4 linked regions of the Pelodiscus sinensis genome follow. The protein of the gene in region 1 interacts with the protein of each later gene in a pairwise test. Links are inferred from orthologs where the notes say so. Each region holds a gene or a part of one and is shown on either strand. Other genes may lie near its edges.

Evidence for each region.
Region 2: the proteins of KASH5 (region 1) and BET1 interact in binary tests that used the Homo sapiens proteins (3 or more experiments, as listed by UniProt). The two-hybrid records come from large-scale screens. The link is inferred for Pelodiscus sinensis from reciprocal best matches to the Homo sapiens genes KASH5 and BET1.
Region 3: the proteins of KASH5 (region 1) and GOSR2 interact in binary tests that used the Homo sapiens proteins (3 or more experiments, as listed by UniProt). The two-hybrid records come from large-scale screens. The link is inferred for Pelodiscus sinensis from reciprocal best matches to the Homo sapiens genes KASH5 and GOSR2.
Region 4: the proteins of KASH5 (region 1) and UPK1B interact in binary tests that used the Homo sapiens proteins (3 or more experiments, as listed by UniProt). The two-hybrid records come from large-scale screens. The link is inferred for Pelodiscus sinensis from reciprocal best matches to the Homo sapiens genes KASH5 and UPK1B.

Annotation. Positions count from the first base shown.
Region 1 is NW_027465974.1:153,159-160,290, forward strand, and holds the start of KASH5 (protein KASH5), read right to left. Parts: upstream 3,003-7,132; 5' UTR 2,439-3,002; intron 1,613-2,438; 5' UTR 1,590-1,612; coding exon 1,445-1,589; intron 1-1,444. UniProt on the Homo sapiens protein: As a component of the LINC (LInker of Nucleoskeleton and Cytoskeleton) complex, involved in the connection between the nuclear lamina and the cytoskeleton.
Region 2 is NC_134712.1:212,343,316-212,350,656, reverse strand, and holds the start of BET1 (BET1 homolog), read right to left. Parts: upstream 3,022-7,341; 5' UTR 2,884-3,021; coding exon 2,865-2,883; intron 1-2,864. UniProt on the Homo sapiens protein: Required for vesicular transport from the ER to the Golgi complex. Functions as a SNARE involved in the docking process of ER-derived vesicles with the cis-Golgi membrane.
Region 3 is NC_134739.1:2,714,784-2,722,216, reverse strand, and holds the start of GOSR2 (Golgi SNAP receptor complex member 2), read right to left. Parts: upstream 3,009-7,433; 5' UTR 2,880-3,008; coding exon 2,851-2,879; intron 1-2,850. UniProt on the Homo sapiens protein: Involved in transport of proteins from the cis/medial-Golgi to the trans-Golgi network.
Region 4 is NC_134711.1:144,295,457-144,302,484, forward strand, and holds the start of UPK1B (uroplakin-1b), read right to left. Parts: upstream 3,020-7,028; 5' UTR 2,885-3,019; intron 1-2,884. UniProt on the Homo sapiens protein: Component of the asymmetric unit membrane (AUM); a highly specialized biomembrane elaborated by terminally differentiated urothelial cells.

The sequences.
Region 1 (7,132 bases):
GGCAAGTTTTTCCACAAAAGCAACTGCTTTTGCGGAAAAGCTTGCCAGCTGTCTACACTGGCTGCTTGAATTTCTGCAAGAACACTGACGATCTCATGTAAGATTGTCAGTGTTCTTGCGGAAATGCTATGCTGCTCCCGTTTGGGCAAAAGCCCTCTTGCGCAAATGCTTTTGCGCAAGAGGGCCAGTGAAGACAACGCGGTATTGTTTTGCGCAAAAAAGCCCCAATGGCGAAAATGGCCATCGGGGCTTTCTTGCGCAAAACCGCGTCTAGATTGGTACGGACTCTTTTCCACAAAAAGCTTTTGCGAAAAAGCGTCCGTGCCAATCTAGACGCTCTTTTCCGCAAATGCTTTTAACGAAAAAACTTTTCCGTTAAAAGCATTTGCGGAAAATCATGCCAGTCTAGACGTAGCCTCTAGGTATTATAGCCATCTACCACATAAGCTAAAAGCCTATGTGGTAGCTAAGACTGCTAGCTAAGGCTGCAGAGCCAACTAGATGCCACTAGATGGGACAATACACCACACCCTGAAGCTGTGGGTGAATGGGCTACATAGCAAATGTGCTTCTTGCTTTTCTTCTTCACACTTAAGCTCTCACAGAAAGGCCCCAATCCTGAAATCCAGTCTGCACCATTGGGGCTCCTCTACTGATCTGACTGCAGAATCAGAGCCTAACCTGGGAGGCAGCATGGTCTAGCAGGCAGAGTACTAGGCTAGGCATTCTGAACACCCTGAATACCATCTACATGTTTTGTTAGTCTATAAAGTGCTACCAGACCATTTGTTGTTTTTTTCTGTAACAGACTAACTCGGCCACCCCCTGAAGTACGGATGGTGAATTTGTTGTCCGTAGGATTCAGAGCCATTTGGAGGAATGGCGTGGATCTCATCTCCAGAGCTAGTACTGCAGATTTAGGCAGACCACGCTGCTCAGTTTACCCTTGGATTGTGTTTTCACTTGCAACCATGTGGCTTAGAAATGTAGCTAGCTATTCAGCAAAGCACTTACCTCATAGAGGTAGCATTACAAATGGTGCTTAGCTACTACAGTAAGGGAGGGGGGATATAGTAGATAATAGGCATGTAAAAGTTTATCGGGTTAACCAGTAGGGACTGGAGCAGCTTCCCACCTGCTATGGGCAGGGGGCTGCTCCAGCCCCACGGCAGGCCCCCAGGTGCCTTGCAGGCAGGGGCTGCTCTGGCTGAGACTGCTCCAACCCAGCTAGTGCAGCTTCTGCCTGTGGCAGGGGGGATGCAGGCAGGGGCTTCTCTGTCCAGGCTGAAGCAGCCTCTGCTTGCAGCAAGGGGGAGGCTGCTCCCACCTTGCTTGCCCCCCCCTTAAATTGGTTAACCAGTTAAATAGTGTGTAACCGATTAGCCAATTAAATGGGATTTTACATCCCTAGTAGACAGACAGACCCCAAACTGGTGCTACATACCCTCTGATGACTGGACCATATGCAATTGTACAGCTGCTGCAGGGTTGTGAGACAGGGTCTGCATGTTCGCTGGCTGATCTGTATCTCCACAGAAGCTGGCTTCATCAGAGATCCAGGGGGAAGCGGCCTCCTGTGAGGACAGCATGTCTCCTGCCACATTCGCTAGCCCTGCAATAAAACAGACAGTATGATGCTCACTGTCCTCCTTCCCAAAGGAAGCTCTCTGCTGGGGGTAGCATAGGGACCAGCCTTCCCAATGCTGTCCTCATAAGCACTAATCAAGGGACACCTGATTAAACTGCAGCAAATTGATTGATCGATCGTATTCCACTAGACAAGAATAAAGGCTAGAGCGGGTAGGGAGGGACTCACTCTACAGGGGTAGCTGTATTGGTGTAGTTACACCAGGACAGCCAGACCCTTAGATTCCCCCACATGTATCATTCTAGGAGCTGGCTTTGGCCCAGTGCCATCAGCACTCGGCCCCGAACTGTTCGCTTTTGGAAGAGGTCTCGGGAACCCCTCCCCTGCTTAGACTGGAATCTGTCTTGTCTAATCAACTTGGGCATCCATGGAGCAGAGGGCAATGTGGGGGTCAAGACACCCCCCCCATGCCCATTAAAAGCTTATTTGCGGGGTCAGCTGGTGCTGCCCTCTCTACCCGAGGGGATGGATTTAGGGTAGACAGCCTATCTGAGAGGGGTGTGTGGGAGTGGTGCTGAAAGAAGCGGGGACAGTTGTACCAGGCTCAGGGCAGCCCCCACAAGTCTGTAAAAATGGGGTGAAATGGGATATGATGAGCCAATGGGCCAGGTGACCTGTGGGCATTACCTGGGATGTCTGGCCGACATGAGTGTATTTAGGGAGAAGAGCATATTTGCTTAGCATCAATGGGTTTTATTCTGACTCAGCCATTGGCTTGCTTGGTGACCTTGAGCAAGTCCCTGCCTCACTGTGTGCCTCAGTTTCCCCATCAGGGGCTAATGATACCAACCTTTTTTGTGGTTTATGGGGGCAGTGGGTCTGTGGGGCTCTCTGGAGCTGGTGTGAGTGTGGTGGGCAGGGGAGATTTGGGGTTGGAGCTTACAGGGGGGGGAGCAGGTCTTTGGGGCTTTCTGGGGCTGGTGTGAGTGCTCAGGGACAAGGGGGGATTTGGGGTTCAGTGGCTTTCAGGGGCAGTGGGTCTTTGGGGCTGGCATGAATGTGGGGGGACCAGAGGGGATTTGGGGTGGTTGGGGGACTTCTGGGGGCAATAGGTCCGTGGGGCTCTCTGGGTGAGTGTTGGGAGGTGAGGGGGGGGGTTGGGGCTGTGGGGCTGGCATGAGTATGGGGGAAGGGGGATTTGGGGTTGGGAGCTTAAGGGGCTGCGGGGCTCTCTGGGGCTGGTGTGAGTGCTGGGGGGCAAAATGGGGGGACTTGGGGGCTGGCAAGGACAGTGGGTGTGTGGGGCACTGGCGTGAGTGTGGGGGCAGGGCGCTGAGGGGGGGCGTGCCCCCCAACATTAATTCCCTCCTCGCATGGGGGGGCGGGGCACCTCCTCCCCCCGCCCGGGGCAGCCCGCTCGCTGGGGGCTGCCCGGGGGGAGGGGCGGGAGGGGCTGGCGCGAGCCTCAGAACGATGCCGCCCGGCCCCTGAAAAGGCGGGAAAATTCAAACTTGGGGCCGGGCGGCGGTTGGGGGCGGCAGCAACGGTCGCGGCTTGAGCCCCTTCTGTGCGCGCGCGGCGGGGGGAGGGGCGGGTCAATGGCACCAGTGACTTCATAGACGGAGGGGGAGGGGGGAGCGGGGATTCCCCCAAATTAACCAGGCTAATCACCCTCTACAGTTATTAAGTAGAGGAGGGGGGGGGAGAGGCTGCCCCATGGGTAGGGCACCCCCCCCAACGTGGGCAACCCCCCCAAAAAAGTGACACCCCCAATGAAACAAACACTGCATGGCAAGGGGGGCTGCAAACATGAGAGGGGGACCCCTAAACATGCTCAGGCTGAAGGCTAGTGCCCAGGGCCCTCTTAGCATGTTCCCACCAACCAGCATCATGAGATGGGGAAACTGAGGCACCGAATGTCAAAATGACATATCCAACCTCCGCATGTGGGAGGATCTATTTGCTAGGCCCTTTTGGGTGTGTCTAGAATACAAGGGTTTTTTGTTTGTTTGTTGGTTTTTTTTTTTTTTTAAAGTGGCCTTTTTTCGAAAAAAAACTTCCCCTGCGTCTAGAGTGTTGCTGCGTTCTTTCGGAAGTAAATCAAAAGAATGCAGCAGTTTTTTCGACTGCGGAAAACCTCGTTTTACGAGGAATATCGCCTTTTTTCAAAAGTGCTCTTTTGAAAACAGGTGCTATATAATGCAAACTGTGCTTTCTTGAAAGAGAGCATCCGGACAGCCTGGGTGCTCTCTTTTGAAAAAGCGGCTTGCTTTATCGAAAGTACTGGTTGTAATCTAGATGCTCTTTTTCGAAAGAGGCTTGCAGTCTAGACGTAGCCAAAGATGCTTATTTCAGCCATATTGTGGGAGGGGGGGTCTCCTTTGAGGGCTTGAGGGTACCTGCCGGGTTGGAAATCATAATGGCAATTTAGGGATATATCAGAGGTCACAACAACAAAATGACCCTTCACATCCCCTGAATGGCCTCTTCTTAAATTAGGGTCTCCCCCCAAATTAGGTAGATTAATTCCCCAAATGCACATGAAGTGAATGAGGCAGGCAGAGAGGTTTGGGTGCTTACGGGGGCAATGGATGTGTGGGGCAAGGAGCTGCCATGCCACTGGGACCTGTGGCCCAGGGATATCCCGGAGTGAGGGGTTTCCCCAAATTAAAGGGGATTAATTCCCCCCCACAAAATTGAAATCAGTGTGCTCTACTTTGGCCCATAGGGTGTACAACATGGGTTTGCTGTGGCATCATGACCTTTAACCCTGCAGGCAGTCCCTCCCAGCCATGAAAGTCCCCCCATAGAATAAAACCTGATTAATTCTCCTACATATCTGAATAAACTTTCCATGTGGGCCAAGAATAGCAAGGCTGGGGGTGCTGTTGTGACACAAGGCTTTCCCCTGGAAAATTAATTCTCCCCACCCCACCCACCAAAAAAGTGGTATGATCTAGTATGATCTAGTCCAATCATGCCCTCTGTCCCCCGCAAATAACCCCTGAAAATGGATAACTTTGTGCCCCAGGAGGTCACACCTGTTTCTACACCTCCCAGGGGCACACCTCAATGGAAAGCGACTGTAAAGTGGTGACTGAAAGGCTGTGGGACCTAGCTCGTCCACATGGAGGGGATTGCTCTGTGTTCTCAGCCTAGCCCTGGAAGAACAGACAGCATGCGATGCCAAGGCATGTCATGGGCATGGGAGATGTGTAACCATCCAAGACCTTTGTACTTGCACAAACAAGATAGGCGTGAACCACTGCTGTCTCTTCACAGATACATTTCACACCTGTAGAGACTCTTCCACTGGCTCGGTGGACATGGGGAAGTCAGTGGATGTTATATACCTTGACTTTAGCAAGGCTTTTGATACGGTCTCCCACAATATTCTTGCCAGCAAGTTAAGGGATTGTGGATTGGATAAATGGACGGTAAGATGGATAGAAAGATGGTTAGAAGGCCAGGCCCAGCGGGTAGTGATCAATGGCTCAACGTCAGGATGGCGGTCGGTTTCTAGCGGAGTGCCCCAAGGTTCGGTTCTAGGACCGGTTTTGTTCAATATCTTTATTAATGATCTAGATGAGGGGATGGATTGCACCCTCAGCAAGTTTGCGGATGACACTAAGCTGGGGGGAGAGGTAGATACGCTTAAGGGCAGAGATAGGGTACAGAATGACTTAGACAAATTGGAGGATTGGGCCACAAGAAATCTGATGAGGTTCAACAAGGACAAGTGTAGAGTCCTGCACTTGGGACGGAAGAATCCCAAGCATAGTTACAAGCTGGGGACCAACCGGTTAAGTAGTAGTTCTGCAGAAAAGGACCTGGGGGTTACAGTGGATGAGAAGCTAGATATGAGCCAACAGTGTGCCCTTGTAGCCAAGAAGGCTAATGGCATATTAGGTTGCATTAAGAGGAGCATTGCCAGCAGACCCAGAGATGTCATCATTCCCCTTTATTCGGCTTTGGTGAGGCCGCATCTGGAGTATTGTGTCCAGTTCTGGGCCCCCCACTACAAAAAGGATGTGGACGCATTGGAGAGGGTCCAGCGGAGGGCGACCAAAATGATTAGGGGGCTGGAGCATATGACTTATGAGGAGAGGCTGAGGGACTTGGGTCTGTTTAGTCTGCAGAAGCGAAGAGTGAGGGGGGATTTGATAGCAGCCTTCAACTTCCTGAAGGGAGGTTCCAAAGAGGATGAAGAGAGGCTGTTCTCAGTAGTGACAGATGGCAGAACAAGGAGCAATGGTCTCAAGTTGTGGTGGGAGAGGTCCAGGCTGCATATTAGGAAAAACTATTTCATTAGGAGGGTGGTGAAGCACTGGAATGGGTTACCTAGGGAAGTAGTGGAGTCTCCATCCCTAGAGGTATTTAAGTCTCAGCTTGACAAAGCCCTGGCCGGGTTGATTTAGTTGGAATTGGTCCTGCTTAGAGCAGGGGGCTGGACTTGATGACCTTCTGAGGTCTCTTCCAGTTCTATGATTCTATGATTCTAAGTGTGTGTGAGGATTTCAAACAGGTGACAGAGGAACAGCCCCAAATAGTTTTTGAGGGATGAGCAACTCGGTCCTCTGGTTTGAGAACTGCATCCAGCAACCATAGAGTGGGGTCACTACTCTGATCTAAAGCAAATTGTGAGATGGATAATAATCATTGCAGTACGCAGTGGTTTAGCACAGGAAGGGGAGAGTAACAAACCCACTTCTGATGCTTTAGCAATGACGACAGAACTTATAATAGGATGAATGGAACTGGTTCCAAATTGCACCAGCAGCCTAGAGTTACTCTTGCAAAAAGTGCCACAAGCATCAGTTTTATGCACCATTTTGCTCCCTCCATCCTCACACACTCTTTTTGTAGCCTGTGGATCTGAGCAGCAAGTGGCAGGCAGAAGTGTCAGCATAATGAACCAAACCACAAGTGCACACATAATGAAACCAAAACTCCAGAAATACAGCTTTGCCTACAGAGCTACAACATGATAGGAGCACCAGGTGCCTGAGTTTGTTCTCTCTCACAAGCATTCCCTCTCTGACATGTACACGCACAATCTGATCTCATGCACAAACGTCACATTACAGTAGTGCTGTCACTGACAATAAGAAAAACATTAATATAGCCCCAAACAGAGCTAGAGCCAATAGGATATTGTGAGGATTAATTAAAGCAGCCCAGGATTTTATATAGATTGCTGTACAAAACAGGATTCCAGCCTTCTGAAGAAATAAAACTACAATTATTGCATGAACTTTGAAGACAATACACAGGGATAATACGAATCTGATGTGTGACTAAGACCCAAAGAATGGCCCAACTGGGTCAAACCAAAGGTCCATCTAGCCCAGTATCCTGTCTTCTGATGGTGGCCAGTGCCAGGTGCCCCAGAGGGAATGAATAGAACAGTCAATCCCTGTCACCCATTCCCAGCTTCTGGCAAATAGAAACTGGGAATGGGTGAATTACTTAATTTCAATCAAATAGTTGAGGTTGATTTGCTGTAAAGAGGCTGGAAATTGGTCACAGTCCGGATATTTGGCT
Region 2 (7,341 bases), on another chromosome or scaffold:
CAGGATGGGAGGGACAGGGCTTGCACTGAGGGAGATGGAGAAAGTTAAATATTGGCACACCACTTCTGAAAGGTTACTAACCCCTGTACTAAGGAAACCTTCCTCCTTCCCCCCACAGCACAGGCTATGTCTAGACTGTAGGCTTCTTTCAGAAGAAGCTTTTCTGGAAGAGCTCTTTCAAAAAAAACTTCTTTTAAAAGAGCGCATCCACACAGCAAAAGCACATTGAAAAAGCGATCTGGAGTGGCCACCAGTCAACCTGTGGAACTCCTTGCCCGAGGAGGCTATCAAGGTTAGGACTATAACAGAGTTTAAAAAAAGAGCTAGATAAATTCATGGAGGTTAGGTCCATAAAAGGCTATTAGTCAGGGGGTAAGAAATAGTGCCTCTGGCCTCTGTTTATCAAAGGCTGAAGATGGATGGCAGGAGACAAATCACTTGATCACTGTATTTGGTCCACCCCCTCTGGGGTACCTGACAGGATACTGGGCTAGATGGACCTTTGGTCTGACCCAGTATGACCATTCTTATGTTCTTATAGGGCACTTGTGCTTTTTCCTGGAGGCCTCTTCTTTTGGAAAAAAAACCCTCTACCCCGTCCACACACACCTTTTTCTGAAAGAGCTCTTCCCCAACCACCACTCTGCCTAGAGGACACAGGGACATGCTAATGAGCTAGCACTCACAGCTCCAGCTGTGTGGGGGCACTGAGGCTCGGGGCTTCTGGACCATGGCATATAAACTTGCTGTGGCCTATAAGTTCCCCACCCTGGAGTAAAGCGCAGTCTACATTTAATATTTATACTAGCATAGCAATCTCAGTCCAGAGCGTAGAGAAAAAACATAATTTGGTGACACAGCCGTGCAGGGAAAACTCACAGTGTATATGCTGAGAAGCCTTCTTCTGTTGACATAGCTACAAAGGTAAGTTAATGAAGGGTAGTGGTGTTTTGATGCCTGTAGAATTCATGTTAGTCACATATGGTGAGTCTATCCTAATAGGCTATGCTGCTATAAAAAATGTAGTGTAATTTAAACAAAGCCTATTTTATTACATTCTGAATGATTTCGTCAAAGTAGATCATAACTCATTAGTAGACCGGGTAATCCAATAGGTAATCTATTAGTTCATTCTTGCATTTTATTTACATAACAGTTTTTTTCCTATTTGGACACTGTTTTTTTCTCATTTACCCCCCCCCCCCTCCATGAAAGAGGAAATCACAACCCTCCACAGTAGAAAAAGGACTTAATTGCTGTGACAGCAACATGTTTATAACTTCCCATGCCTCCTTTTACATAATTCTTCCAATGACCAACGTTCTTATTGTAGGAGAAAGAGAGAGCTTGTAGCATGGGCCTGGTGGTAGAACCAAATTAAGTAAAAGTTATACTATGAGTAATAGACGGAGTCAAAAGCAGATGTTTGCCTGCAAGTCAGTATGTGTCAGCACTAACTGCTAGCACTGATAAAAGCACATGAAGTATGTAAATACATTCCACCAGGACAGTAGAAGGACACCCAACTGAGTACATGATAAAATAGTTTGAAACAAGAATAAAAAGCATAACAGCAGATAGTGAACGCTTTGTAGGAAAGTACAAGGGGAGGTACCAAACGTCATTAGTGCATAAGGGGATACATGTAGTGTGTTTCATAGATTGTTCATTTGTCTATAAATATTGGGGTACCTTAATCCTTTGGCTGGCCTAGGGGGCAATGCTGAAATCCATACTATTGACTGAACCAAGACCATTGTCCCAGGTACAAATGTATAGGGGCTCAGAGACCATCTGGCTACCAACACCTATTAATGTACTTCGTTTGTCAATAAACCTGACTTGGGTGCCTTTGTGTTTTATGAGTCTGCCATCTTTGGGGGCTCTTGTGAAGTCTACTATGCTAGCTATCTGCAAAAAGCTGGCATGATATACTAAGGGAGCATACGAAAATGCCTGCAGCTGAACGTTTATCATCACTGATGGAGCAGGAGACCAGTCAGGACGCCACACCAATGAATCCTGAATTTACTGTATCGCTGTCCTGCACAACTGCACTTGTTACCCAACATTTAAAGCAGAGGTCTCGAACTCCTGGCCCACAGGCCATCCCTGGCTGCAGCAATTATGCGATCTGGCCTGAGACTCCAGAGGGAGAGAGCTATCTGTTACCGCTCTGCTTCCCCATGGGTTGTGCAGGGGGAGTGTGAACAGCACTCTTCCCGCTCCCCACCAGTGATTCCTGAAGCAGTGTTCCCCAGGGGACAAGGTGCCTACGTGGAGGAGAGGCAGGGCAATGGCAGGCAGTGTCTTGGGGGATGGCTTCCGGGCTGAACTGTCCAATCTCTCTGGCCATGGCTGGAGGTTTGAAACCCCGGACTTAGAATTATTTTCAAGCCACGCTCTCGACACCTCTAAAATGTTGATGCCAACAGTCGAGCTTGCCTGTCTTCAGGCAGGAAATGAAAGGTTCGACATGAATTTACAAAAAAGTTTTCCTAGTCAATGGCCCTAAAACAGAGCCCACGATCTCAATACTAACATGCTACAGAAACAAAACAAAAAAGGGGGGGGGGCAGCATTTTCAATGTATCTGCTTTCGCTTTCTGGCACCCTGAGGCTGATCGAGCGCAGCTTTACATACGGGTCCCCAGATGACTCGGGCCCCCCCCCCCTGACTGTCCCAGGGTTTGTACCGTTCAGTGGGGGGGGGGGCATGTCCGATGAGCTCAGCGAGGCGGGAGGAAAAGGCTCCCACCCAGGCTCCCCTGAAGCAGCTGGGACGGTATCTCGCTTCTGCGGCCCCCGCCCGGCGCCACTCCCTTCACGCGCCGGCCCCTCCCCCACGCCCGGGCCCCGCTTACCCAGCCCGGCGCGCCTCATCCCTGCGGCGGGGTGGGCAGGGGACCGGCGGCCCCGCCCGCAGCCGCTGAGGAAGCGGCTTTGCCCGTCGGCGGCCGCGGCCAAGCTCCAACTTCCGGGCCCTCGTGAGCCGCCCACCGCCCCAAACGCCACGACATCGCTTCGCCCGCCGCGCGGCCCGCTGGGTAACGCAGTCCCGGCGCTCCGTGTGCGGAGCCTTTTCCGGCCGCGCGGCGCCTCCTGGGTAGTGTAGTTCCAGCGCGCCGGCGCCGCCAGCCCGGGCTGCCATCGTCTCCCGGCCGCGACCCTCAGGGGGGCGGGGCCTGGGATGAGCCCCGCCCCGTCAGCTGGCAACTTGGCCGGCGTCCTTGCCGCGTCCCGCGTGCCCGGGGAGCCCAGCCCTGTGCCCTGGAGTTCGCTGCCTGGCGCCGCCCTTTGCCTTGCCCTCCTGCTCGCACTTAGTCTCTGCGCTCCGCTTCTCCGCCCCCTTTCAGTCTCTTCCCGCTTGCACCTCCCGGGGGTCCCACTCCCGTTCTGTCCCCTCTGCTCTCGGCCTGCCTCCCCACCCTACGCACGCTCGTGCTTCGTGGGGCCTGCCGCAAGCCGGGGCAGAAGAGGTGAGGAGAAACCATCGCACCTTGGGTCAGGAGCTGTCCATAGATTTGCTCCTTTTGTACTTCCCAGAGTCACAGCCTCCGATTCCATGTGTAGAGCCCTGCAGATATCCCCTTTATACCTGCCCATGTGGCTCTAACACAGTGTGCTACTCACTCCATGTGGCCCTTTGAGGTGTAGGCTGCGGCTCCCCAAAGTTCTCCTGGAGCGTGTGGCAACATCTGATTTGCATCACCCTGGGAGGGAGCGGGGCTGAATTAATGCAGGGGCTTAAAGGGCTGCAGCTCAGGGCCCCAAGCTAAGGAGTATCTGGCAAAAGGAACTCCAGGCTGCCAAAGTTCAGATCTTTTTGTGGGCTGGCCCTTAGCCACTAAAGCCAGTGGAGTGAATTGGTAGGCCAGTGTGTGCACCAGATATTTTGTTACTCATGTAAAGGGTGACCTGACCACAAGTATGAAAAATTGTGAAGGTGTGGGGATGATAGATGACACTGTACGACATAGCCTCACGTAGACTATTCACTTTAAAAATAGGACGTCTGGTAGCCCTGCTTGTGTCTCAAAAGAAGGAGCAAGATGTTCTTAAATTTAAAGTTATTTTGAAAATAGAATAAACTTTCATTTATTAAGATGAGTGCTAATTTTTGAATCATGTTCCCTAGATATTTTCTAGGACCTGATCATTTCATATACTAATAGAAAGGCCTTAGTCTTGGTGTTGCAAAAAGATTTCAGGTGCTCCTTGAATCATGGGCACCTTCGCAGGAAGAATACATTCTAAAAACATTGTTTTTCACTGTTCTAAGATGGAGTCATAGTATTGAAAAGATATCCTCTGATCCTAATGGAACGCCTTTTTTGTAAGTGAAAAAGTAGACAGCTGCTCAAAAGGGAAAATTCAAGATCCTACTATTACTGACTCTTTAGCGGTAAGAATAATTCAGATTTCATTTGCAAAGGTAATTCATCCTCTACTATAATCCTTAACCCAGTCTAATGCTCTGTCAAAATTGGGCTTTATCTCTTTTTATTAAGGCTATGATTCACTCTGTATGCCACTAGATTAATTTTATTTCCCAGTATGATAACCCTACTGCTAAAACATATCTGAAGGCTGCAGATTGCTCTTTTTCCAATTCATTTTTCCCACAATCGTCCCAAAAATTCTTTATAAAACTGTCATTTTCTGGACCTAGCTGTCACTGGATTGTGGTACATCAGGGTGCAGATGAAGATTCTAGTCTAAAGCCTAGTTAGAGTTGAAAATACATTAATTTTCATATGAAATGCATTATAAAATTAGTCTAATAAATTGCTAGAAAATATATTCATTAATTATCCATCCAAAGCTTTCTATCTGAATGAATATGAACAAAAAATTAAATCATTTGTTTTAAATATATTCTGAAATTTGTCTAACAAATTTGAGAAATATTATCTAGCTTCAAACATAAGCATATCAGATGTTTTAATTAGGGATGTGAAAGTGTAACCATGTACATGGTTAAGTGATGAGCCAGGGCTCGTTGGTTAACCTGCATGGTTATATGCAGGCTCCTGGTATGCATGGGGTGCCCCTGAGGAACCGCCTCCTCAAACCCCCCCTCACTGCTGCCTCTGTATCACGGGCAGCAGCACGGGGATGGGGGCAGGCGGGAGCTGGTGTGCACAGAGCCAGCTTAAAACTGTCTCCCTGCGTGCACTGGCTCTTGAGAAGCTAACTGCACCTCGCCTCAGTGTGAAACCGTGTAACTGCTGAAAATTTCAGTGGTTACACATTTACTTAATTAAATGCATTTTAACATCCCTAAGTGTGACCTCTTTTGAGGATGAGTGATTTCCTGATACTTGAGTTTAAATAAAATGCTTGTATAAGTTTTATTAATAGATTCTCCTAATGTGAGGCACCTACTAGACAAGAGAGGCTACACTGGATTCTCTAATTTTATAGGGGACTGGCATCCTATGTTGTTTTTATTTATTTTTTGTTTTGCAGTAGTGCTTAGACATCCCCGTCATGAACAAGAACCCTGTTGGGCTAGATACATCACAATTGAATAACCGGTAGGTAGTTCCTGTCCCAAGAAGCTTGCAATTTAGGTATAAAACAGGGCTAGTCAACACGCGGCCTGTTTGCGGCCCACAGTGCGGTTTGGATTTATGCAGGGCTCAACGCGTGACCCTCAGGTGGGAGCAAAACCAAAAAAGTAGTTAATATAATGGTCTTCTGTTGATATGCGTTTTAGCAGTTAAATTCCTGGACTGTCATTGTTCATTAAAAGTGCTGTCATATGGGTGGAAATCGGATAAATATTGCATTTTATTGATATCAGCAGAACTGGCTTAAATGGGGCCTGTGTGTTGTGTAGTCTTGCCTTAATCTTTGTAGTCATGCCCGTCAGTGTGAAAAAAGCTATTTGCATATATTTGCATGCATATGCAATCACATTTAAGTTGCGGCCCCTCGGCATGTGCTGTATCACTGTGGCCCCCAGGGCTTCCAAAGTTGAGTAGCCCTGGTATAAAACAAGACAATACGTGATTACGATACAGACAAATCAGGGAGTATAATTAAACAATATTGGTCAGTATAATAGATGTTGTGTCTTAGCAAACCAGCTGCCATTCTATATACCATGGGTGAGGAACCTTTTTTGAGTCAGGGACCATTGACTCAGAGGAAAATCAGTCGGGGGCCACACACAAGTAAAAAACCCTCACTCTGGCCCCCGACTGAGAAAGAGAAAGATGCTCCCCACGTTCCCCTCACACATAAGAGCCTACTGGGGCCCACCAGAGTAGATTGTGTGCTCCAGCCATGCGGAAGGCAGCAGGGGGGCTGCCCCCCCACACCTGCCCAGCTCACCTGGTTCCACAGGGGCTTGTCTTGTGGCCAGGACAGAAAAACAAGATGACTGCCAGCAAAAAAAGCCTCTTAAAGGGGCCATGATAATTTATTAATTTTTTATTTTCTTTTATTTTTTATTTTTTGTGCTTAACAGCCTGGGTCTCCCCCCTTTTTTTTTTCTCAACAGGATTTTTTTTGGGGGGGGAGGGGTTCGGTATTTTTGGTTAAACTATCTGGCAACCCTAATGGAGGGTGTGTCTAGACTACACCTCTCTGTTGACAGAGAGATGTAGATTAGGCATGTCGAAATTGTTAATGAGGCAGGGATTTAAATATCCTGCGCTTCATTAGCATAAATATGGCTGCCGCTTTTTTCGAAATGGAGCTTTTTCGAAAAAAATGGCAGTCTAGACGTGGATCTGTCAAAAATAAACCCTTTTTCGAAAGAGCCTGTAAACCTCGTTTTTGTGGAATACAGCATCTTTCAAAAAAGGGTTTATTTTCAATAGATCCTCATCTAGATTGCCAGGGTTTTTTTCAAAAAAGCTCTGTTTCGAAAAAAAAGTGTTGGCCATGTTTATGCTAATAAAGCACGGGATATTTAAATTCCTGCCTCATTAGCAATTTCAATGTGTCTAGACGTACCCTGAAGGAGCTACAGAGGAGCAGGCTGGCAGACTGCAGATGTGTAGCATGCATATAACACCAGCAGGATTAGAGAGGCACTGATGGTGGCAGGGGGGAAGAGAGTAAAGAATGGAGGAGAAGGTAAGGTTGGGAGAAAAAAATACATTTTAGCCCTTTCCAGTACAATCTCCCTCCAGCACCAAGAAATTTTCCATAAAACCAAATCTGAAATGCAATAGCATTTACTATTTACTCTATGCATATCTATGCTGCCCATTATTTTAGGTTTCATTCACAACTGTCCAGGAAAACTTATCAGTTCCTTCAGAAAAGGAAATAGTGTTCTCGTACTGCTTTCCCTACTTCCATCCAGATCAGAGGTGCTTATTT
Region 3 (7,433 bases), on another chromosome or scaffold:
TGATCAGCGGCTGATTCCAGGAAGCCCGGGGCAGGGGCTTCCTGTAGTCAGCCACTGGTCATTTTCAGCAGCTGCTGACTAGGGGACACCTGGGGCAGAGCAGCTGGGGTGCTGCTGGGTTGGTCCAGTGGCACCCAGAGCGGCGCTACGGGACCAACCGGCAGCGCCCCAGCTGCTGTACCACAGGCGTCCGGAGCAAAGCCGCGGAGCACGGGGGCAGTGGGACAGCCCAGACGCGCCGTGGCTATCCTGCTGCCCTCGGGCTCCATGGCTTTGCTCTGCTTTGCTCCCCGTCCCCCTGGTCTGCAGACCAGGGGGACGGGGAGCAAAGCGGCGGAACACGCGGGCAGCGGGACAGCCCAGACGCGCCGTGGCTATCCTGCTGCCCTCGGGCTCCGCGGCTTTGCTCTGCTCTGCTCCCCGTCCCCCAGGTCTGCAGACCAGGGGGAGGGGGAGCAGAGTAGAGCAGAGCGGCGGAACGCGCGGCCAGCTGACAGCCCAGACGCGTCTGGGCTGTCAGCTGGCCGCGTGCTCCGCTCTGCTTTCCCCCCCCCCCCCATGGTTTGCAGACCAGGGGGAGGGGGAGCAGAGCGGAGCAGAGCAGAGCGGCAGAACGCGCGGCCAGCTGACAGCCCAGACGCATCTGGGCTGTCAGCTGGCCGCGCATTCCGCTGCTCTGCTGTGCTCCGCTCTGCTCCCCCCCCCCCCTGCAGATCAGGGGGAGGGGGAGGGGGAGGGGGAGCAGAGCGGAGCACAGCAGAGCAGCGGAATGCGCGGCCAGCTGACAGCCCAGAAGTGTCTGGGCTGTCAGCTGGCCGCGTGCTCCGCTCTGCTCCCCCTCCCCCTGGTCTGCAGACGGGGGGGGGGGGGGGAGAGCAGAGCGGAGCGCGCGGCCAGCTGACAGCCCAGACGCGTCTGGGCTGTCAGCTGGCCGCGCGTTCCGCCGCCGCTTTGCTTCCTCTCCCTGGTCTGCTCGAGACCAGGGAGAGGAAGTGCCCCGTTCGTAACTGCGGATCCGACATAAGTCGGATCCGCGTAACTCGGGGACTGCCTGTATTAACTAGTGCTTTTCAACACTAAAATCTTGATTTTTTTTTTTGGCCTCCGTCGGTCAGTTGACCATGGATGACGTATGCTAGTTCTCGTCTTGGTTCGTGTCGAATTGTCTGGGACAGAGTCGGGGACAGCGTCGTTGGTGGCTGAAAAGGCCAATCCGGGACAGGCATTCTTTGCCGCAGAAGTCGCAGCTATAGGTGGTTCCCTGGCTGTTGTTGTTGCGTAACTTCCTGCGGGCTCGCTTTTCTTCTGATGCACGCATCACGTTCGTTTCGCCTGACTTGAGCTGTGTGGTCAGGGTGCCCCTCCACTTTGGGTGGTCTGCTGCGAGGTCTTCCCAGGACTGCGTGTTTATGTCGATGGCTTTCATGTCCCTCTTCACGACATCTTTAAATCGCAGGTTCGGGCGCCCTGTGGTTCTCTTTCCAGATGCCAGTTCCCCGTAGAGGATGTCCTTTGGGATCCTCCCATCCTCCATAAATCTTGATACACACTCATATATTATAGTATCATCCAAAGGTCCATGTTGGGAAAGAAGTTGCTTTGTGCTAGATGCTGCACAAATATGTAAGTGGACACTGTCCTTGCCTTTAAAGTGCTTACAATGTGGTGCGACAAAGTATCAGAAAATACTGTAATTAGCTCAGAGTATTTCATAGACATGGATGCTTGTTGATAAGGGAAAGAGGATATACAAGATTAAAATAAATTTTCCTTATCTACCCTTGCCACCATTTCCAAAAGGAATGCAATAAACAAACAAGATAGATATGGATTTACAAAGAGAAAATGAAACTACTATAAAACTATTTAATTCCTAACATTATGATTAAATTATTATTCTAGCCAATTTATTGATATGAAAAACAATTCCATAGGTAGCAAATTAGCATTCTGCAAGGTTTCTTGCACCCTCCTCTTAAGCATGCGATGCTAGTCTCTATTGCACTACTACAGAAACTTCAGGCAATTCCTGTGTGGTCCCCTTCCTCTTATATTTTCTTATTTGTGCCAATTCCAAGACAAGCTATTGGTTGTGCGCACAAGCATGCACACACCCCATCTTTTTTTTTTTAAACTTTCCAGAGTCGTCATGCTGACACCCCTTATGCCATAAACAACAACCCTCACAAAGAATCACTACAGCATTTCAGCAGAAACGCTGCATCCTGTAAGTGTGGTGGTGGGCAACATATTTACCCTGAAAGAAGTAGGCTAACACTACACTGCCATCTCTGTATCCCTTCCTTTTTCTTTTCTCTTCAGCATCTGAGGAAGTGAATTGTATCCAGAGGTGAAAATAACCTTACCTTTCTTACAGGTACCTATCACAACATGCCCTCCACCCTTAGGAGGCAGCTCCGGGCAGGGAGGAGGGAAGGGGGGAAATGTTGCAATACAACAGTAGCTATAAGAAATTTAAGTGTGGCGTGTGGGTGGCTCAAGCCAGAGGGCTGGGGCGTGGCGGAGTCCGGGGTGCAGGAAATGGGGCTCTGGGGTCGGATTAATCGACCTCGCCGGGACTCGGCGCTCAGGGACAGGGGCCAAGCCAGGACCGTCACGGCCAATAATGCCCCCCCCTCGCCGCGGCAGGAGCGGGGCCAGGCCGCCAATTCCCGGCTGTAGCGCCCCAGGGCTCGGGCCCTCACGCGCGTGCAGCGCCCCCTGCCCCTGTAAGGCCCGTTCCCGGCACCGCGGCGGGAGCTGGAGCCCGCGGCACCTCCCTCGCCCTGCTAGCCCGGCTCCTCGCTCTGGGCCGGGCGCGGCCTCGCCCCCAACGCGACCCCCACTCACTTGTTGGTCTGGTGGTAAAGGGCCTCCATGGCGCGGCGCGGCGCGGCGCGACACGTCAGGCCACCCGCTTCCGCTTCCGCCCGCTAGGCCCGGCCACTTCCGCCCGGAAAGGCTGCCCATGCTGCTGCCTGACGGCAGGACGGGGCGAAGCGCGCTCCCGCCGTTGGCACGTGCCCCCCGCACCTGGAACCCCCCGCGCGCTTGCCGGCCAGCACGTGGCCCGCGCGGGGTGCAGCCTCGGCTTCGCCCCGGGGAGTCCCGGATGCGCCTCAGAGCGAGCAGGGCCCAGCCAGGGGTGTCTTGCCAGCCCCTGCTTGGAAATGGCGGCGGCCGCCGCGGCGGGTGGAGGGCGCAGACCCCCCCCCCCCCCCCACGGAGCAACACACGAACAGAGGCCCTATGGGGTCAGACCAACCCCGTGTCCACTGTCTGGAGTGGCCAATAGCAGCTCCCCAGAGGGGGGGGCACAACAGGGGCTCCTCCCCCATCCCTCGGGACAAACAGGCCCGGGACACCATCCCCCCCATAGTCGCTGATGGACCCACCCTCCATGAATTTACCTAGCTGGGTTTTTTGAATGCTGTTCAAGTCCTGGGCTCCTCTGGCGAGGAGTTCCACAGGCCCACTGTGCACCACGTGAAGAAAAACTTCCTCTTGTTTTAAATCTGTTGCCTATTAATTTCATTTGGGCACCCCTAGTTCTTACGTTATGGGGATTAGTAAATAACTTTTCCTTAATCACTTTTTCCACACCAGTCATTATTTTATAGCCCTCTATCATATCTCTCCCCCCCCCCCCCAAGTCTCCTCTTTTCTGAGCTGAAGAGTCCAAGTCTTTTTAATCTCTCTATATGGGACCCATTCCAAACCCCTCATCATTTTTATTGCCCTTTTCTGAACCTTTTCCAATGCAAATATAACTTTTTTGAGATGAGGCAACCACATCTGTATGCAGTATTCGAGATGTGGGCATATCATAATTTTATATATTCTTTATCCCTTTTGTAATGATTTGTAATGATTCCTAATATTGTATTTGCTTTTTTGACTGCCATTGCACACTGAGTGGATGTTTTCAGGGAACTATCCACAATGACTCCAAGATCTCTTGAGTAGTTGTAGCTGAATTAGTCCCCATCATATTGTACATATTGTTGGGATTGTTTTTTCCAATGTGTATTAGATTACATTTATCAACATTACATTTCATTTGCCATTTTGTTGCCTAATCACTTATTTTGGTGAGATCTTTTTGAAACTCTTCACAGTCTGCTTTGGTCTTAACTATCCTGAGCAGTTTGGTATCATCTGCAAATTTTGCCACCTCACTGTTTACTCTTTTCTGTAGATCATTTATAAATAAGTTGAATAGGATTGGTCCCAGGACAGACTCTTGGGGGACCCCACTAGTTACTTCTTCCCATTGGGAAAACTTACCATTTATTCCTACCCTTTGTTTCCTGTCTTTTAACCAGTTATCAATCCATGAAAGGATCTTCCCTCTTATCTCATGATAACGTACTTTGCTTAAGAGCCTTTGGTGAGGGACCTTGTCAAAGGCTTTCTGGAAATCTAAGTACACTATATCCACTGGTTCTCCCTTATTGACCCCCCTCAAAGAACACTACCAGAATAGTAAAACATGATTTCCCTTTATTAGAAACCACTTTGACTTTTTTCCAACAAATTATGTTCATCTATGTGCCTGACAATTTTATTTTTTACTATAGTTTTAACTAATTTATCTGGTACTGACGTTAGACTTACCGGTCTGTAATTGCCAGAATCACTTCTAGAGCCCTTTTTAAATATTGGCATTATATTAGCTATCTTCCAGTCATTGGGTACAGAAGCTGATTTAAAGGATAGGTTACAAACCACAGTTAATAGTTCCACAATTTCCCATTTGGGTTTTTTCAGAACTCTTGGGTGATGCCATCTGGTCTCAGTGACTTGTTACTGTTCAGTTTATCAATATGTTCCAAAACCTTCTCTAATAATACTTCAATCTGTGACAATTCCTCAGATTTGTCACCTAAAAAGAATGGCTCAGGTTTGGGAATCTCCCCAATATCCTCAGCTGTGAAGACTGAAGCAAAGAATTCATTTAGTTTCTCAGCAATTACTTTATCATCTTTGAGTGCTCCTTTAGCATCTCGATCATCGAAGGGCCCCACTGTGTGTTTAGCTGGCTTCCTGCTTCTGATGTACATTAAAAAAGATTTTGCTATTACTTTTTTGAGTTTTTGGCTAGCTGTTCTTCAAACTCCTTTTTGGCTTTTCTTCTTATATTTTTACATTTAATTTGACAAAGTTTATGGTCCTTATTTTCCTCACTAGGATTTTACTTCCACTTTTTAAAAGATGTCTTTTTATCTGTCACCGCTTCTTTTACTTGGCCAGGGTGGTACTTTTTTGGTTCTCTTATTGGTTTTTTAAAATTTGGGTTATACATTTAAATTGGGCCTCTATTATGGTGTCTCTGAAAAGTTTCCATGCAGCTTGCAGATATTTTACTTTTGTCACTGGACCTTTTCATTTTTGTGTAGTTCCTCTTTCTGAAATTAAATTTCACAGTGTTGGGCTGCTGAGGGGTTTTTCCCACCACAGGAATGTTACATTTTATTACATTATGGTCACTACTATTTCCAAGCGGTCCAGTTATATTTACCTCTTTAACCATATCCTGTGCTCCACTTAGGACTAAATCAAGAATAGTCTTTCCCCTTGTGGGTTCCAAAATCAGCTGCTCCAAGAAGCAGTCATTTAAGGTATCAAGAAATTTTATCTCTGTATCCTGTCCTGAAGTGACGTGTACCCAGTCAATATGGGGATAGTTGAAATCCCACACTATTACTGAGTTTTTTTATTTTGATAGCTTCTCTAATCTCCCTTAGCATTTCATAGTCACTATCAGGCTATGTCTACAGTGGTGCGATCTTGCGCCAGAGCTATGCAAATGAGGCTAAGCATGGAATATCGCCGAGCCTCATTTGCAGAGCTTGGCGAACCGCGGCGAGCCCTGCTCGCCAGCCGCATCATCTGGTGATCTGCGCATGCGCAGATTGCCCAAACCTGGCTCTTCTGGGTTGCAATCTACTCGCCATGGACTAGTAGATTGCATTATTTGTCGAGCCCTGCTCATTTGCATATCTAATGAACCGCCATTTTGTGGAAGAGCCTCTTCTGCAAAATGGCGGCTCATTAGATACGCAAATGAGGCTCGGCGATATTCCACGCTTAGCCTCATTTGTATAGCTCTGGCACAAGATCGCGCCAGTGTAGACATAGCCTCAACTGTCCTGATCAGATGGGCGATAATAAATCCCTACTGCTATATTCTTATTATTGGAGCATGGAATTACTCTCCCTACAGAGTCTATGGAACATTTTGTCTCATTTAAGATTTTTACTTCATTTGATTCTACATTTTCTTTCATGTATAGTGCCACTCCCCCACCAGCATGACCTGTTCTAGCCTTCTGATATATTTTGTACCCTGGTATGACTGTGTCCCACTGATTGTCCTCATTCCACCAAGTTTCTGAAATGCCTGTTATGTCAATATCCTCCTTTAAAACTAGGCACTCTAGTTCACTCATGTTATTATTTGTGTATAAGCACTTTAAAAATGTCTCAGTATTTATCTGTCTGCCATTTCCTGACTCTTTTTCATTTGATTGTGTCTCATCTGATATGACCCATATTTCCATCCTCTCCTCCTGATTAGAACACAGAGCATCTCTATTAATAGACCTCCTCTAAGAGATGTTTTTGTCCGATCCAGGTGTTCCCCCACACCTGTCGGCTTTCCCCCAGCCCTTAGTTTAAAAACTGCTCTACAACCTTTTTAATGTTAAGTGCTGGCCGTCTGGTTCCATTTTGGTATAGGTGGAGCCCATCCTTCCTGTATAGGCTCCCCCATCCCAAAAATTTCCCCAGTTCCTTCTAAATCTAAACCCCTCCTCTCTACACCATTGTCTCACCCACACATTGAAACTCTGAAGCTCTGCCTGCCTACCTGGCCCTACGTGTGGAACTGGAAGCATTTCAGAGAATGCTTCCATAGAGGTCCTGGATTTCAGTCTCTTTCCTAGCAGCCTAAATTAGTCCTCCAGAACCTCTCTCCTACCCTTCCCTATGTCATTGGTATCTACATGTACCATAACCACCGGCTTCTCCCCAGCATTACACATAAGTCTATCTAGATGTCTTGAGAGGGCCACAGTCTTCACACCAGGCAGGCAAGTCACCATACAGTTCTCCCGGTCATCACAAACCCAGCTATCTATGTTTCTAATGATCAAATCTCCCATTACTAACACCTGCCTTTTCCTAATGATTGGAGTTCCCTCCCCCGGAGATGTATCCTCAGAATGAAAGGATACCATAACATCCTCTGGAAGGAGGGTCCCAATTATGGGATCATTTCCCTCTGCTCCAGGAGACTGTTCTCCTTCCCTGAGCCTTTCATCCTCCTTGACAGTACAGAGGCTGTCTGATTGAAGGTGGGACGGTTCTACAGTGTCCCGGAAAGCCTTGTCTACGTACATCTTAGCCTTCCTTAGTTCCTTGGATTCAGC
Region 4 (7,028 bases), on another chromosome or scaffold:
GTCAAAGATGGTCTAGATGGTGCTTGGTCATGCCATGAGGGCAGGGGACTGGACTTGATGACCTCTCGAGGTCCCTTCCAATTTTAGGGTGCTAGGATTGTGTGTGGGACTTGAGAAATTAGTCAGACTTCAGGAGCTGCAGCATCACTGCTCTTCAGCAATCTATGGGCAGGTCTGTGCTTTCTGTGCCCCATCAGCTGCACCAGGAACAGGCTTGGCCTATACTTGTTGTCTTGTGTGTTAGAGCTGTCAGGCCAGTGAGGAAAGTGGAAAATGCAAACTAAGCCCATTTGGTAGGCACCCAAAACACAAGGCACATTTTTAGAGCCAAGCAGCCTCATCTCATGCAGCAGCAGCTCCAGCAAGTCCAGCTCAAGGTAGTTTTTAGGTCTTCATTAAACAGAATGCCCACGTTGGACACAGACAACCTGAGGTTTCCCCATTGCTGTGCACGCCGAGAGTCTAGGATTTCCCCTGAGGGAGAGGAAACCCAGCCCTCGGCTTTCCTTCTGTTTCGTACAGACCTAACGTATAAAGCTGATTTGCTCCTCTCCGATTTGTGGGTCAGCAGTTCTCCACCCCCACACCAGGGACTGGCTGAGCACCAATGTTAACAGAGATAGAAAAAAGAGGGTGTCTAGCCTGGCCTTCTGCAAGAGAGAGGTTTTTCATCTTGCAGCAAGCACTGCCACTCGAGTGTGGGGGCAGGAGAGAGGTGCATAGATTTTCTCTCCTCCACTCTGTGGTAACCCACATGCCTTCTGGGTGTGGTGTGCTGCCCCATCTAGTGGCACTGAGATCACTTACTGAGGGAATAATGAGTCTGTCCTAAAGCTTTAGCTAACTTCCTTCTGGTTGTTGGCTCGTGCAGTGTAGACGCTCCTGCCCTAAGTTTCAGAAGTTCCAGGTTTGATTCTGCTGGCAAATGCCTGGAGTCTGTCAGGATTATACCTATGCTCCCACTTAGCCAATCAACATTAGTGCTCCGCACAGAGATGCCACTAGGCTAACCTACTCCCAGATTTATCTCCTCCCAGTTTTATGGAGCTGTTTGTGCACCACATTTTGAAATGCATGCAGTAAGAGGCTAGAGACAACAGATCCAGTCGTCTTATTGAACAGGCTCACATAGGGTTTGCCCATCATTCAATCCAAGGTGTTTCCAAATGCGTCAGCTGTTGCATTCAGAGTCATTCGTGCACAACTGAACAAACCAAATCTTGCAGCAACAGAAAGGTTAGGTTCATCCACCCAGCACTAACTTGCCTTTAACCAGATACATCTGAAAAGTTCAAGGACCACACCTTCTATTTCTCTAACTAACAAAGCCCAGATTACTGAACATTTCCCTTCCAGCCTTAGAAAAAAAAATGTTTTCACTCATGCAGGAATAATAAACGACATCAGCCAAATATCAAGGTGTGTCTCAAAGATTTCTCACATGGAAGGAGACAGGAGTGTTTGGTTGGGGTAAGTCCCTTAACCGTGGAGGGTTTACTGCATTCTGCCTTCCTCACACATTCAAAATAAGACTTTCATTCTTGAATGCAGTGGTGTTGTAGCTGTGTGAGGCCAAGGATATTAGAGACCAGGTGGGTGAGGAAGTCTCTTTTATTAGACCAATTTTTGGTTTGTGAGAGATATATACTTACACAGAGCTCTTCTTCAGAGCAAGAAAAGCTCTCTGTAAGGTCAAGGCTGGTCTCTCTCACCAACAGCAGTTGATCTAATAAAAGATATTACCCCACCTACCTGGTCTCTCTACAATCTCATTCTGATCAGCTGCTAAAGAGAAATTGAGGACTGACAGTAGAGGAGACAGATTTGCATTAGACAAAATGACATTTTCTAATTTAGTAGAAAATTCAAGCCTCGAGGAACTTGATAACATTGTATCTTTAGCTTCAGGGGCTAGCTGAGTCAGTCTGTACAGGATAAACTTTAAAAAACAACAAATAGTCTGGTATCACTTTAAAGACTAACAAAACATGTAAATGGTATCATGCGCTTTCGCAGGCACAACCCACTTCTTCAGATGACCAGATGATCTTTAGTTAGCTTCAAAAAAATTAAGACAAGGGGAGACTATATGAACTTATGGTCATTTTAGACACCATATCGAATTCTTTAAGCATTGTGGATGAAAGACTACATAGGAGCAAAGCATTTCACAAGTGTTCATTTGCAGCTCTGCTTTCTTTGCCCTTCAACAAGCTCCTCTGGTAACTTCACCCACCACTGAAATGCTGCCATCTCGGAAATGGAACAGCTTGTTTAACAGCACTCAAACACCCCAGGTTTAAGAAAAAAGACTACAATACCCAGCCAGTTATTTCAGACCACAGGAATAAAATAGACCCCCCAAAACAAGTGCCTTACTAATTAAGTCTTTTTTAGAGAGAAATTGTTATCTATGAAAGGATGCTTATGAGAACCCTAGAGTGCCTGTTCAATTATCAGGTATAATAACCTAAGAAATAGGGAACAGTTGTTTTCTTCCCTCCCTTACTAGCTTTATTGAACCAAACCAGAAAAGGACACCCCCTTCCTTCTTTCAGAAGAGAAGTAAGTATAGAGATCACACTTTATCTGTAACCTTTATTCCTGCACTCAGAGATATATTGGCAATATGTAACAACTTTTTTCTAAATGTTCATGTCTCTAAGAAGTAAAATAAAGGAACAGTACAGAACAGGCAGCCTGCAGGCAGAAAAGAAAGATACTTAATAAGCTCTTATAGTTAATCCCATCAAATTACTAAACACCCACTCACTTATATTGCAGATACTAAAATAAGCCATTAACTACAAAAGCCTCCTTATTTTTCATGTAACACAGCAGTAGCTTGACTATCCAGAGAAAAGGAATACAGCAATTTACTCACCTGCTGTGCTGTGCTGTGCTGCTATCCTACAGAAACTCAACCACACCTGTAAAGCTAAGCAAGCCCCCCTGCAGCTCTGCCTGTCTTTAAAGGTCCCCGAGTGCTTAGGAAAAGTGGTTTTGATTGGTGGGGTGTGCAACATATGAGAGGAACCTGTTTCTAGCCAAACCTGTTCCTGGGTTGGGATGGGAGCAGAAGGTGCCTCTTTGATTGTACTGGAATGTGGTTGTACTGAAAATACACACACCAAAATGTATTATTATAATCTATTGGGATGGACAAGTGACTCACTCCTAGGAGATCTCTGAACTTTAAAAAGGATAGGTGAATCAGAAGTACATACGTGTGTGTATTACTGCTGGATGGACTGTTATTTTAATGACTCCATTTTGGTATCCCCAAAGAGAATACTCTGAGTGGAAAAGTCAGAAAGGGTTTTTAAGAAATGCCTTCATTGTCCTGAAAAAGGGGGCTGAGGGGCAAAAGTGAAAACCCACCAAATTGGGTTTGCACTCTGATCTGTGTCTGCATGTTTCATAAAGAAGGCATGAAAGATAGGTGCATTTGGGTGGAGTTATTAGGTTTCTTTACCTTCAGTGGGTTTTCTAAATGAGAAATTCAGGTTTTACCCACCCTAGAAGACTATGAATGACCAGAGAATGAGTAGGATTATGACATCACACTTGGGCTTAATTTTGCACAGGAGGAGTATAAAGTACCCACAGTTAAATGTGTGTGGAAGTCTTTGTAGCATTACTGATTAGGGAGTGAAAGCTTGTTCACTGAAGAAAAGCGGGCAGGGGAACACTCGAGACAAAGGATATCTTTAAGATTCATCAGCCCCTGCTTCCATCCCACTCAGTGAAGGGCTATGAAAACTCATGATCTCCATTTCTGGGATCCCCAGGTAAAGTTGACTATACTTCTTCATAATTGAGGTTAAAAAACAAACAGAGGGAAAAAACTTGGGGATGGGGTCCCAGTCTTTCAGGAGCTCTGTATACATCAAAAAGTGCATACATGGGCACCAGTTCAATTACCAAAAGAAAAAAAATCCCCAGTAACCCACCTGTAAAGTGCCTTAAGGAGTGAGAATTCTGAAAGTTCTTAACATTGTGGGGGCCTCCCCTCCAGGCATGTCCCTAGGATTACTACACAACCAAAAAAAAAAAAAAGCCCCACTCCTAGAGAATGTAGGGCAGGTTTTTCACAGAACCCCATGTATACTGGACTTGGGTAGTTTAACCTCTGTGGATACCCACTTACTGCTGCCAGGAAAACCACATTATGTTGTCATAAGGACAAGTGAAGAAGGAACTAGCTGTTCTATATAATCACTGTTCTTGTGACACATGGGGTAGATAGACACACCTGCTTGCCTGTGTCCCATTGCTTGTCTTATTAGGGCAGTGAACCTGTGAGGTGGGAGTGTTTGCTTGGGATAACAGTCCCCTAGAGGAATGAGGCAAAGGCTGCACTTCATCAAAGAAAGTGTCCCTGATTAAAGAGCACTTTCAGTGGCAGTGAGGTTTATGCTGTTATGCCTAACACTTCAGAACAAAATATAAAACATTTTCCAGAGGTGAAAATACATGGGTGAGCTCTGGTGCGCAGCTCTGGCAAGAGCTGGCTGAGCTATGGCAAAAGCCAGCAGGGAGCTGTTTAAAGAGCTGTGAGGGACCCGGTTTGTAATAAGACAGTGCCTGTAAGAAATGTTAAGTTACTTTCACTGCTGGCATTTACACTCCCTAGAAGCACAGGTTGCAAGCCCCGCTGGGCTGATGCAACCCTCTCATTCTTCTGCAGTACTGGAGAGAAAAAGACTGGCTTTCAATGTATTGGTCTGCTCTGCTCTACTGGACATAAAGGATCCCTGCATTACTGGCATGGATTGTGGCTTCACAGAGCCCCCTGCCAGCTATAGCTACAGCAGCAGCTAAATGATCTTTTGGCTGCAATGATGATACTGTTTGCTACAGCCCAAAGGAGAATGAAAGGCAAATAGAAGCTCCATCTCTTTCAAGAATGAGGCAAGGTGTGCAGAAAGTCTGGTTTGGGAGAGGAGGTGAGGAAAGCGCCTGCCTAGGAAGCAAGGAGAAGGGGTCAGCAGCATTGTGAAGAGCTGGGGCCAGTCAGTCACAAGCCTGAAGAGAAGTTTTCCAGAAAGTGCTGTCGAGTGTCTGTTGCTTGACCTAATCCCCAGTCGAGTGCTTGTGGACAGGCCTTGCCGTTCGCCCTATCTTGAGTTGGAAGTGGGGGGAGAGATGGAATGCGAGTCGTTGCTGTCACTGCTGTTTGTCTAGTGACAGCTTTCTGTCCAACTGGCTTAGCAGGCTCTCAAGGAGATGGTGGGATCAGATCAAGAAAGAATTTTGGTGTCTGAAGGAGGAGCAACACGCTGCTCTTTTGAAAGCAAAGCTCAGTTTGTGTCCTCACACATACACAGGCCTGGACACACAGGGTGTGAGTTTGTTGTGCCAGCAAGGTAGCAATGGCTCTTCAGCTCAAGCTGCAGCTGCTTGTGTTTTTTAACATGGGAGATTCCGAATTCAATCCCTGCCGTGCTGGCCAGAAAGGCAGCAGCCAAACATGCGATGCACACACTGGTGTATTCAGACACACACAAACATATTGACCTTGAAACAGAGCAATCTGCAACTGGCTGAGCCCCAGATGTCTCACTGTCCCAGCTCAGTCCCTTGGGGCCACTTTGCAGTGTAGCCAATTATTTTAAATTATTGTTCATTTATTGGATGGCGAATTAACACGCTATGTCATATGCAATCACTCTATGCTCACTAGATTGAAATGATGGATGTATAAGACTGATCAATAGTTAGAAGGGATAATGATCTGTTAGGTATGTAAATAAGCTGGGCTGAAACACAAGGACTACAGGCTGAATGAGGCCTGTAAGATTTTAGCTGAGCCATACTAGGCCATAGCCTTGAATTATTTGACATAGTGACTAAAGAACTTGACACAAGTAAGTGACCAAGGAATGATGCTATGCCACAAGATTACAGGAAAAGTTGTGCCAGTGGGTGATATTATGAAACATTAACAGCAAGAGTTAATTTTTTGTTTCATAGCATGGGCAGTGGGTACAAGAGGCTTGGGAGGCTAAATCTCCCCAAATGGGGCAAGAAATGCTGGCTGTGGCGCAGTTCTCTTTGGAAGGGTGCAGCTAGTCATCTTTGGAGCACCACTGTGGGAAGATCTCGAGAACTGGGGGAGTGGAGGGGAGACAAAATTGTGGTCCTGCACTCCTACTCTGCCTTGAGACCCCACTCTCCACCATCCACTCTACTCCGCTGTGTCCCCCAATGGCCCCATTGCCCAATGACCACAGCAATATTAGCGTATGTATACAGGATAGGTGCAGGGTGTGTTGCTTGTGGGGGAAGCATGAGGTTGGAATGAACAGTGCTTGTTGAAAAAGGGGGGAAAAAAGTGAAATATTTTGAAATTGTTTTCCTTTTGTGAGGTTTGAAATAGACCAATTTTTCTTTTCCTCTTTTTTCCATTATTTCCCCATTTTTGAAAATTGTAACAAAATAGGCATTCAAACTTTTCTGAAGAAAAAGGTTAAAAGAAAAAATGAAAAAATAAAAATAAAAGAAGGAAAAAGAAAAAAAACAAGAAAAGAGGAAAAAAGGGGGAAATGAAAAACTAAAACCTTAAAAAAAAGAAAATTAAAAAAAAGAATTAGCAGTCTAAGTATTTCTGATTTTCATCTAAAAAATCAAAAGATTAAAAAAAATCTAACATTTTGCCAAAAAATCATTTACAAAGCCTTGTATCAAACAATAACAACAAAACCAAGCAGAAAACCACAGCAAATCTTTTTGTAAGAAAAATTTCAACCAGCTCTGTTACCTAAGGGCGTGTGTATGGGACATGAACATGCTTCATGCGCAGCGAGTTTCTTCATTAGGTGGAAGCAGAAGGAAGCTCCTTATGAAAGTGAAGTCTGTCATTGATGGTGGAAACTTGCTGTGTGGGCAAGAGGATGCTGCTAAGAGGTGCCCCATAACTTGGGATTTCCTTGCTCTTTAAAATATGCTTGGGGAAGCGGGGCGATCAGAGGATGTCTTAAACTGAATATCCAGCCAGACTCAGAAGCTCAGGAGAGCAGGGAATG